2 linked regions of the Zea mays genome follow. The protein of the gene in region 1 interacts with the protein of each later gene in a pairwise test. Links are inferred from orthologs where the notes say so. Each region holds a gene or a part of one and is shown in the gene's direction. Other genes may lie near its edges. The genes, in order: protein TRANSPARENT TESTA GLABRA 1 and transcription factor BHLH42.

Region 1 (4,503 bases):
TTCAGCTGTGTTTAATAATGGAGTGAATGTATTTTTTTTTGAGGAAAATGTATTTTTTTGTTGAGGCGGTGCTTTCAGCCTGAAACGATGACATAACAAGCAGTATACATGCAATTAGCCAATTATATTGGAAGTTTCTTCCTTGTTTCTGTGCCACCAGTATTAATTTTTCGCCTTGGGTCACGTGCAATGTGTTGAGCCCGAACAATTGACTAGTTCTTCTTTGGGGGTCACATGAGCGAATTTAAAAACTATTTAGTTGCCTTGGAAGATTCACAGCCCTGAGGGGACAACACGATGTATCTAGGAAATTGCCAGTCTTTTTTCCACATGTTGCCAAGTTTTTATTAAAAAACAAATAGGATGATGCTGATTGCCTCTACAAACTTAAATAAACAAAGATTACACACGAAAGCGCAAAAGGATGAATCTAGGAAATTCCTGCCATTTCATATGGTGAAATTTCTTAAGCTCACAGGTGGTGTTGATCTGTCTTGCAGACCGTCGGGAACAAGTGCTTTGAAAAGTGCGTGACCAAGCCAGGATCAAGCTTGAGTGGAAGCGAGAGCAGCTGCATATCACGTTGTGTTGACCGCTACATTGAGGCCACTGGTATTGTCAGCCGCGCATTGTTCACTTCCCAGCGCTAAGATCACATGAATAAGGAGATGGTTTCGAAGATCGCTCGTGAGAGTAATGTCGCCATGAGTTTTTTGACTTGTCGGAATACAATGACATTTGATGCTTGGTTATTCAAAAAAAAAGTCTGCCTATAGACTCAGGTTTCTTGTACACCTATCTGCTTTAGTAATAGAGAAACGTGCTCTATTTAAGTGGCTCTGATGTTAATTTATGCTCATCATGTGGTTTGTTTCGCTTAATGTTGTATGCTTCTTATGCCTGTTTGTTGCCCAAGCCTTATCGAATATCGTGAAGGATGTGTTGTTGTTATTCGTCGATTACGTGCTCTTCATCAAAGTTATCTGAGCATGCGCATCCTGCCAGGATGAGATGCGCATGTCCCCGGCGCTAGAAATGAACCATGGAGTCGACGTCGACGAACTCATGTCCCCGGCGCTAGAAACGAACCAAAGATTCCCAGTCCACGAAATGACCTGACCAGGGATCCGGTGACATGGGCAACAAACTTTGACCAGACGACGGCTGACTCGTCGCCGGGAAGGATTACAAAAACCGGTCGAGATTCCCATTATCGGTAACGTTTTCGAGTCGACTTTTAAAAATTCGTCCAAAACGTATTTTTTTATTTTTTTTATAAAAAAATAAAAAATATGATATAACCACGTGTTCTCCTGGTACATCTTATATTTAATTTTATTTTTTTAAAATTAATCAGCATTTTTGTAAAAACAACGAAAAACCGGTAAAAAATTAATCAGCATTTTTTTGTTTAATTTGAAGAATATAAACCGGTCGAAAAATTTAGAAACTGACGAAAACCGGGTTTTAACTATTTACTGATTTGTTGATTTACAGATTTTCGAAAGTTTTTTAATTTAAAATTTAAATCGTTCAGTTTTAGCAAAAACCGTCGGTTTCCTAGAGGTAAACCGTTTTCGTTGACTACTGGTTTTTGGTAAACTCTACCCACGTCATCCCACGTTCCAGTTCCACTTCTACCACAACGGCACAACCTCAGTCCTCAGCCCGGCGAGCCGCCGCCCGCATCGTTCAACCCCCGTGCCCGGCCGCCGTTTACCTACCGCTCGCACGCGCGCGTCGCTCCTTTTATCACCTCTCAAGTCCCAGCAGGATCGGCCCCCGCGCAGCTTCGCCCCCACATCTATCGACCCGAATTCTCCACTCAATGGACCCACCCAAGCCGCCGTCCTCGGTCGCCTCGTCGTCGGGGCCGGAGACGCCGAACCCGCACGCCTTCACCTGCGAGCTCCCGCACTCGATCTACGCGCTCGCCTTCTCCCCCGTCGCGCCCGTCCTCGCCTCCGGCAGCTTCCTCGAGGACCTCCACAACCGCGTCTCCCTGCTCTCCTTCGACCCCGTCCGCCCCTCCGCCGCCTCCTTCCGCGCCCTCCCGGCGCTCTCCTTCGACCACCCTTACCCACCCACCAAGCTCCAGTTCAACCCCCGCGCCGCCGCGCCGTCCCTCCTCGCCTCCTCCGCCGACACGCTCCGCATCTGGCACACCCCGCTCGACGACCTCTCCGACACCGCCCCCGCGCCCGAGCTCCGCTCCGTTCTCGACAACCGCAAGGCCTCCTCCGAGTTCTGCGCACCCCTCACCTCCTTCGATTGGAACGAGGTCGAGCCCCGCCGTATCGGGACCGCCTCCATCGACACCACCTGCACCGTCTGGGACATCGATCGCGGGGTCGTGGAGACGCAGCTCATCGCGCACGACAAGGCCGTGCACGACATCGCCTGGGGGGAGGCCGGGGTCTTCGCCTCCGTATCGGCCGACGGCTCCGTCCGCGTCTTCGACCTTCGGGACAAGGAGCACTCCACCATCGTCTACGAGAGCCCCCGCCCCGACACGCCGCTACTAAGGCTGGCGTGGAACCGCTCTGACCTCCGCTATATGGCCGCGCTGCTCATGGACAGCAGCGCCGTCGTCGTGCTCGACATACGTGCGCCCGGGGTGCCGGTGGCCGAGCTGCACCGGCACCGGGCGTGCGCCAACGCAGTCGCGTGGGCGCCGCAAGCCACTAGGCACCTCTGTTCGGCTGGGGACGACGGGCAAGCATTGATCTGGGAACTGCCTGAGACGGCGGCGGCTGTACCCGCCGAGGGGATTGATCCTGTGCTAGTGTACGATGCAGGCGCCGAAATAAACCAACTTCAGTGGGCGGCCGCGCACCCGGACTGGATGGCCATCGCCTTTGAGAACAAGGTCCAGCTTCTTAGGGTCTGACAAGGTTGGTATCATGGTGATCTTTGGTTTGATGCTTTCATTTCTATATAGTTTCTGTTGATTATGTCAATAAATTTAGATTTAACTAAGGGTCTGTTTGGATGTAGATATTGGAGATGTTGGTATTGAATTAGATCCAATACCTTATCTGTCTAGTATTGGAAATGAGGTTCAATACAAATATGTTGTTTGGGTGTATCTGGAATTGCAATTCCATACAATACCTAGAATCTTGGATCTGAATTGTGAGAGACACTTTTTAGTTAAAGTTCAATTCCAAGGAATTGAACTTTAATTCCAGCTCTGAATTCTTTAGCCAGCCAAACAGCAGAATTTAGAATTCCTATTTCCAATTCCAGTCTTGAACATCTACATCCAAAAGGGGTATAAAGACTATCACGCACATTGTTACACATTGGCATGAGGTAGTGTAATTGTACAACTTTACTGAAGATTCATACAGAGCTAACTCTGTCAGTATTACCATATATGGTAACCTAATTTTTTTAGTCCTATGAAGCCTGGAAGTTGCTATTTTTTGCGCATCTATTATGAATTATCCACAAGGACACGAGCTGCTTTCTTTTTCTGTATGTGCTGATTATAAGTGCTAAATACAGTATTTAGTAAATGCATGTATGAGGAATTTAGAATAAGTTCGTCTTTATTTGAAAATTCCTTGGAACTTAAGCTAAATCGATATATAATTGGTGATCTATGTTATCACTTTCCAATGCAAACATGCAGTCCTGAATTGAACACTCTTTTTGTGAACTTGAGAAAAAGGTCCAGTTTTCACCAAGGAAGTTCAGGCTAGTGTTGTGCTAGCTGAATGAAGGTAAATGGTTCCATAAATAGGTTAAACATAATGTCAACTAGTAAATTGCTCGCGCTCCGCGCAAGGTGTTGCTTGATATGTTTATAAAAGATATAGAATTGTGTAGTTTCAAACATGTATATGTACATATATACACATAGAAGCGCTAAAATTTCTAAATTTATAATTGTTTATAGTATCAGGATAGTTCAGACTGAAAATATAATAGAATGAGCAGTCTAAATGTTATATTACATTGATGTGGTATGTAGGAGCTGAGTTCCATGCACAGAATCAATAAATTTCTAGTCTTAGAGAAGACCAAACTTTTTTTTTTCAAGGTTAAAGTACGAAGTACCAATAGTACGTACTTACACATAGGAGCGATGCCAAATTATAAGGGTGTGCACATGCACCAGGGTCCAGGGAAGAAAAATACAGTAGTAAGTTAGCTGATTTCTACAATATAATCATCACTACAAAATTGCCATTTTTAGAGGAAATATGGTAATATGCAAGTTTTCATTATATTATTATGCATTTATGTATTGTGTTTGACTGCTTGGTCTTTGAAATGAAATCATTCCACATGAAAGCTATTAATATTTAACCCTTAAATGATATTATTACAGGTAGTTGTAGGTTAGATGTAATGTGCTAGATTGTCAACTGAATTGAACATGGCATCTATGAACTTGGTAAGAAAATATAGAATGTTCACCTGCATACTCTGGCGCAAGGTACCCAATAGTGCCAGCAAGTCTTGTGTCTATGGTCTACGGAGATGCACTTCCCA
Region 2 (4,596 bases), on another chromosome or scaffold:
TAGTTGATGAACCGATGATCACCCATCATCCAGGAATGGCTTAACAAATCTCCATTAACTGTGAAGTCATTCGCCATTTTTGTTAATCCGTTTGCGCGTCCAGTTTGAAGTCCAAGGGACGAGATGGAGGCAAGAGAAAGTTGCTTGCTGGTTTCAGTTTGTGCACAGATCTGGGATCAGAAGGCACCGGCTGCCTGCCTGACGGAAATGGGATGCTGTGGAGACTGGCAATGTATCCCAGGATGGAAGGATGAGGGTGGAAGCAGTGCAGCCCCAGAATTCAGGAAAAACAGCAAGTGGTTGGAGCTAGCTAGCTACTACTGTGGTAGTAGGTGATACAGTACACAGGTAAAAAGAAAACAGTACGTGCTAGGCCGTACGTGTACGTGCAAAAAGGTGATAACAACTAGCTAGGCTTTATACATCACCACAACACAGCGTACTGTTGCAGAGAGAAACATCACTGCCAACGAGCGCCTGTCAATGAGTGTTCACCAGGACGATGTCAAGGTCCTCTGTTTGCATTGCCCGTACATCTAGTTGGAGTGTTTGGTTCCTACTTCGACTAAAATAAGTATTCCAAATAGGATTTCTAGGGACTACATTTTAGTCATGTTTAGGAGAGCGACTAAAGGAACCATTTAATAATATGCCACATTAAATATTTTTGATGACATGACATAGTATTTAAGGGCATGTACAACCTAGACACTGTTGTACGGTACTCCAAATATAGGATACAACTAAAACACAACATAATACAATGGTCATGTCTAAAACATGTGTCTTACCATATTCATTGTACCAATCAGAGCATTCAATAAATTAAAGTGATCAATCAGCTAGTCTCCTGTCTCGAACATAGAGCTAAGACACTGTGTCTTCGTCAAGATAAATGTCTTAAGTTTTTTCACATTCACCCCCCTAGACACACTTTAAGATACATCTTAAGATACCTATTGTACATGCCCTAAGAGGATTGAGTTTTATTGGGATGAAACCACGTCGGCTGGTTTCCAAGGTCTTGAAAACTGTATGAACCCTTTATTGATAGTGATCTGTTTCACTTCACATATTTTTTACTAACTTCTATTGGTTATTGAGCTGCGGTATTTAATTGATATGTTAGTCTATAAAGACATGTACAACCCATTTAATATGGAGTCTCTTGAGTGGTCTCTAATGGGCTAAGTGAAAAAAATACAAGAGACAAGCACTTCGCGAAGAGTCCGTCTCTTCACAACTTTCCATACAATGTGTCTTTTATCTGTATTTAAGATGTAGGTCTTAGGATTGTATCATGCTGTCTAAGATAGTGCTCAGGTTTGTACATGCTCTAAGATAGTGCTGGAAAGAGTGCGACGAGATTCCCATTTAGAATAAACTTGAGCTTAAAAAACAAGTTTGGTTTCCTATAAAACGACACCGTATGGAGTACTAAACAGACGGATCCAACCAACAAATTCCTTTCACATGCACCTACTTGCGCTACCCCGACCGACCTCCTCCTTCCCCTCCCCACCCCACCCCACGTGCCCTCGCGATTTGGTACGGTGCATGAGTTGGCGGCGCGCGCTCCTTCCCCTCCCATCCCCTCCCCTCCTCAAAGCCCAGCCACCACCACCAGTCAGTCAACGCGTTGTACATTGCCCTCCTTTCCCTCCTCAAAGCCTCAGACGACCCTCACCAACTCGCTCACGCGCTCGATCACTGAAGCAGCACACAGCACAGCAGCAGCAGCAGCAGGCAGCCATCCCAGCCATGGCGGCCGGCGGCAGCGGAGGCGAGGCCGCGCAGAAGGCGCTGCAGTCGGTGGCGCAGAGCACGGGGTGGACGTACAGCCTCCTCTGGCGCCTCTGCCCGCGCCAAGGGTACGCCTTCTTCCTGCCTGCTGCTCCATCGCCGTCCCAACTCTCGTCCTTGCTAAAGCGCTGTCTGACTAACCGATCTGATCACGCATGCATGCATGGCCCTGCTCATCAGCGCGCTGGTCTGGGCGGAGGGCTACTACAACGGCGCCATCAGGACGCGCAAGACGACGATGACGACAGTGCGTCAGCCGGCGGGCGCGGAGGACGCCGGGGACGAGGAGACGGCGCTGCGCCGCAGCCGGCAGCTCAAGGAGCTCTACGACTCGCTGGCGGCGGGGGAGGCCGCTTACGACGGTGGTGGAGGAGTCGGCGACCCACAGCAGCAGCACCAGCAGCAGGTGGCGGTGGTGCCGCCGCCTCGCCGGCCCGTCGCCGCGCTGGCGCCCGAGGACCTGACGGAGACGGAGTGGTTCTACCTCATGTGCGCCTCCTACTGCTTCCCTCCTGCCGTCGGGTAAACCGGCTATAGCCTATATACATACATGCTTTGCTTTGCATGCTACCTCACGTATCTACAGAATGAAGCACAGCACAGCACAGCACAGGGAACGAACGATCGAGCTCAAGGTCTCCACGTGTAAGATATGCAAATAAATAGACCGGCTCTCTATGCTGTTCTATATTTACTAATACTTTTTTTTTCTCATGCATGTTGTTTCACAGGTGATGATGAACCAAATGTTCGTTCCTTCTAATAAGCACCGCATGTACCAACGATCCTCTAAATATTGACCCTGTTTGTTTGGGCAATTTTTAGTTTTTGGCAATAAAAAGCTGCCGCGGATTAGCAAACGTCCCAGCTTTTCAGTCTGTTTCTATAAAAATCGCTAAAAACCATTCAAAATCAACATAAATACATAATCGATCGAGTCGTCACGATAAATTCCATCGCTATCTAGATCTTGAACCCTTTGAACCATTTCATTTTCCTCCGCACGTAATCCCACGATACTCAGATCTTTCCCACAGCCAGATTCTCTCTACAACCAGATTCTCAAAAAAACTGATCAGAAAAAACTGAACCAAACAAACCCATTATTGTCCTTGCTGGCGAGCTAAATCTTACCAGTAAACTATTATACAAAAAGGCCATCATAGAAAATTACCGGAACACATGTTTTTTTGGCGACATTATTGTTTTTTCTTACCAGTAAACTCCTAAGATAATTATTATTTCCACCTTTTTTGAGCTATTATATATACGTACATGACATTCAAAAACAGTTGTCCCGTCCTATTTTATTTACTCTAATGTCTCTTCATATTACTATAGAGCCCGTTTCTTAGTTTGACATTATCATATATCGTCTAATTCGTTATTCGCATCGTCTTATCCTGAACCACCGCGTGCAATTGACTTTGTGCGAGCTTCTATTTGGTTGTCTATACGCGAGAGACACGGGTTGCATATGTGGATGCAAAACAAGATATTTTAAGGCTATTTAGTTGCATCCACTCATACTGCCAAAATTGGCGTACCTAGCCGACCAGGCTCGCATCCGCCTGGTTTGTTGTGCTCAACCATCCAATCAGCCGGATAGCTGATGCAGCATGCATCAATGAATTATCGAATGTCAAAGCACAAACATTTAATTTCATATAACAAACAGATAATGTTCTTTTTTTCGTTGTTGTAACAAGAGAGAAGCTTCCATGTATAAGTCATATACATGTGTAGTGCTTCCACGTTTCAGGTTGCCCGGGGAGGCGTTTGTAAGGAGAGCTCATGTGTGGCTATGTGGTGCAAACAAAGCTGACAGCAAGGTGTTCTCAAGAGCAATTCTCGCTAGGGTACGTACGCATACCGTCTCCATTCTCTTCTATCTCTTTTTTTTTTTAAAAAAATGTTTGGTACTCTTCTAGTCGCAAATATACTTGGCACATTCAATAACATCATACTGTGGCCCATGTGTTGTGAATTGTGATGCAACAAAATTAGTTTTACTATCGTTTTTTTTGAAACATAGCACCTGTAGATTATTAACCCTCTCTTACATAAAATGTGAAAGAATATATAATAGAGATGCTATGTATATGCAGGCTCTTCCTCGTTCGAACAGATTTTGGACGGGCTGTCACATCTATATTTCAATAGAAAATATATATATATTTGTTAAAATTGCACCCACAAGACTATGCAAAAAAAAAAACTGAACAAAGTCAAAGCACTTTTTGACCCTAGCTAGTGAGTAGTTTGCAGTGTGTGAAAATTATAGTGATTTTAGAAAAAGGATAAATTTGAAAAGAAATAACCTTAATGAACATATACCTATTCTATTTCAAATTATAATTCGTTCTGTCTTTTCTAGATATATAACCTTATTATGTATTTAGATATATAGTCTATATCTAGATATACAATAAAAGTATTATATCTAAAAAAACTTAAAACATCCTATAGTTTAGAACGGAGGGAGTAGTTAGCTACGCATGACAAAATATAAGCTTATGATTGTAGTTGAACTTAAAAACATTGTTTTCCTTTCAAGATATGAGTATGAAGCTCAAATAATTGTTTATCGATATCCAAAAGTATTATTCCCTTCTTTGCCCCATGATAGAGAATTGAAGGTACTAACTAATTCTCCATTTATTACGCTTTTCATGTGGAACATCAAAAATGTTGGTGGCAACAAATATCAGAGTGCAGGTATACAGGTATTAAAATTCACCTCTAAAACTACTTTTTTATATGGTTTTTATTGTATAAGCCTTAAGAAGTACT

The links.
Region 2: the proteins of protein TRANSPARENT TESTA GLABRA 1 (region 1) and transcription factor BHLH42 interact in binary tests that used the Arabidopsis thaliana proteins (3 or more experiments, as listed by UniProt). The link is inferred for Zea mays from reciprocal best matches to the Arabidopsis thaliana genes TTG1 and TT8.

The regions. Positions count from the first base shown.
Region 1 is NC_050100.1:204,509,291-204,513,793, reverse strand, and holds the start of protein TRANSPARENT TESTA GLABRA 1, read left to right. Parts: upstream 1-1,624; 5' UTR 1,625-1,828; coding exon 1,829-2,890; 3' UTR 2,891-2,894; intron 2,895-4,503. Other genes in the region: pale aleurone color 1, read left to right, coding at 501-650.
Region 2 is NC_050102.1:19,933,201-19,937,796, forward strand, and holds the start of transcription factor BHLH42, read left to right. Parts: upstream 1-1,616; 5' UTR 1,617-1,761; coding exon 1,762-1,871; intron 1,872-1,983; coding exon 1,984-2,325; intron 2,326-3,565; coding exon 3,566-3,662; intron 3,663-4,514; coding exon 4,515-4,529; intron 4,530-4,596. UniProt on the Arabidopsis thaliana protein: Transcription activator, when associated with MYB75/PAP1 or MYB90/PAP2. Involved in the control of flavonoid pigmentation. Plays a key role in regulating leucoanthocyanidin reductase (BANYULS) and dihydroflavonol-4-reductase (DFR).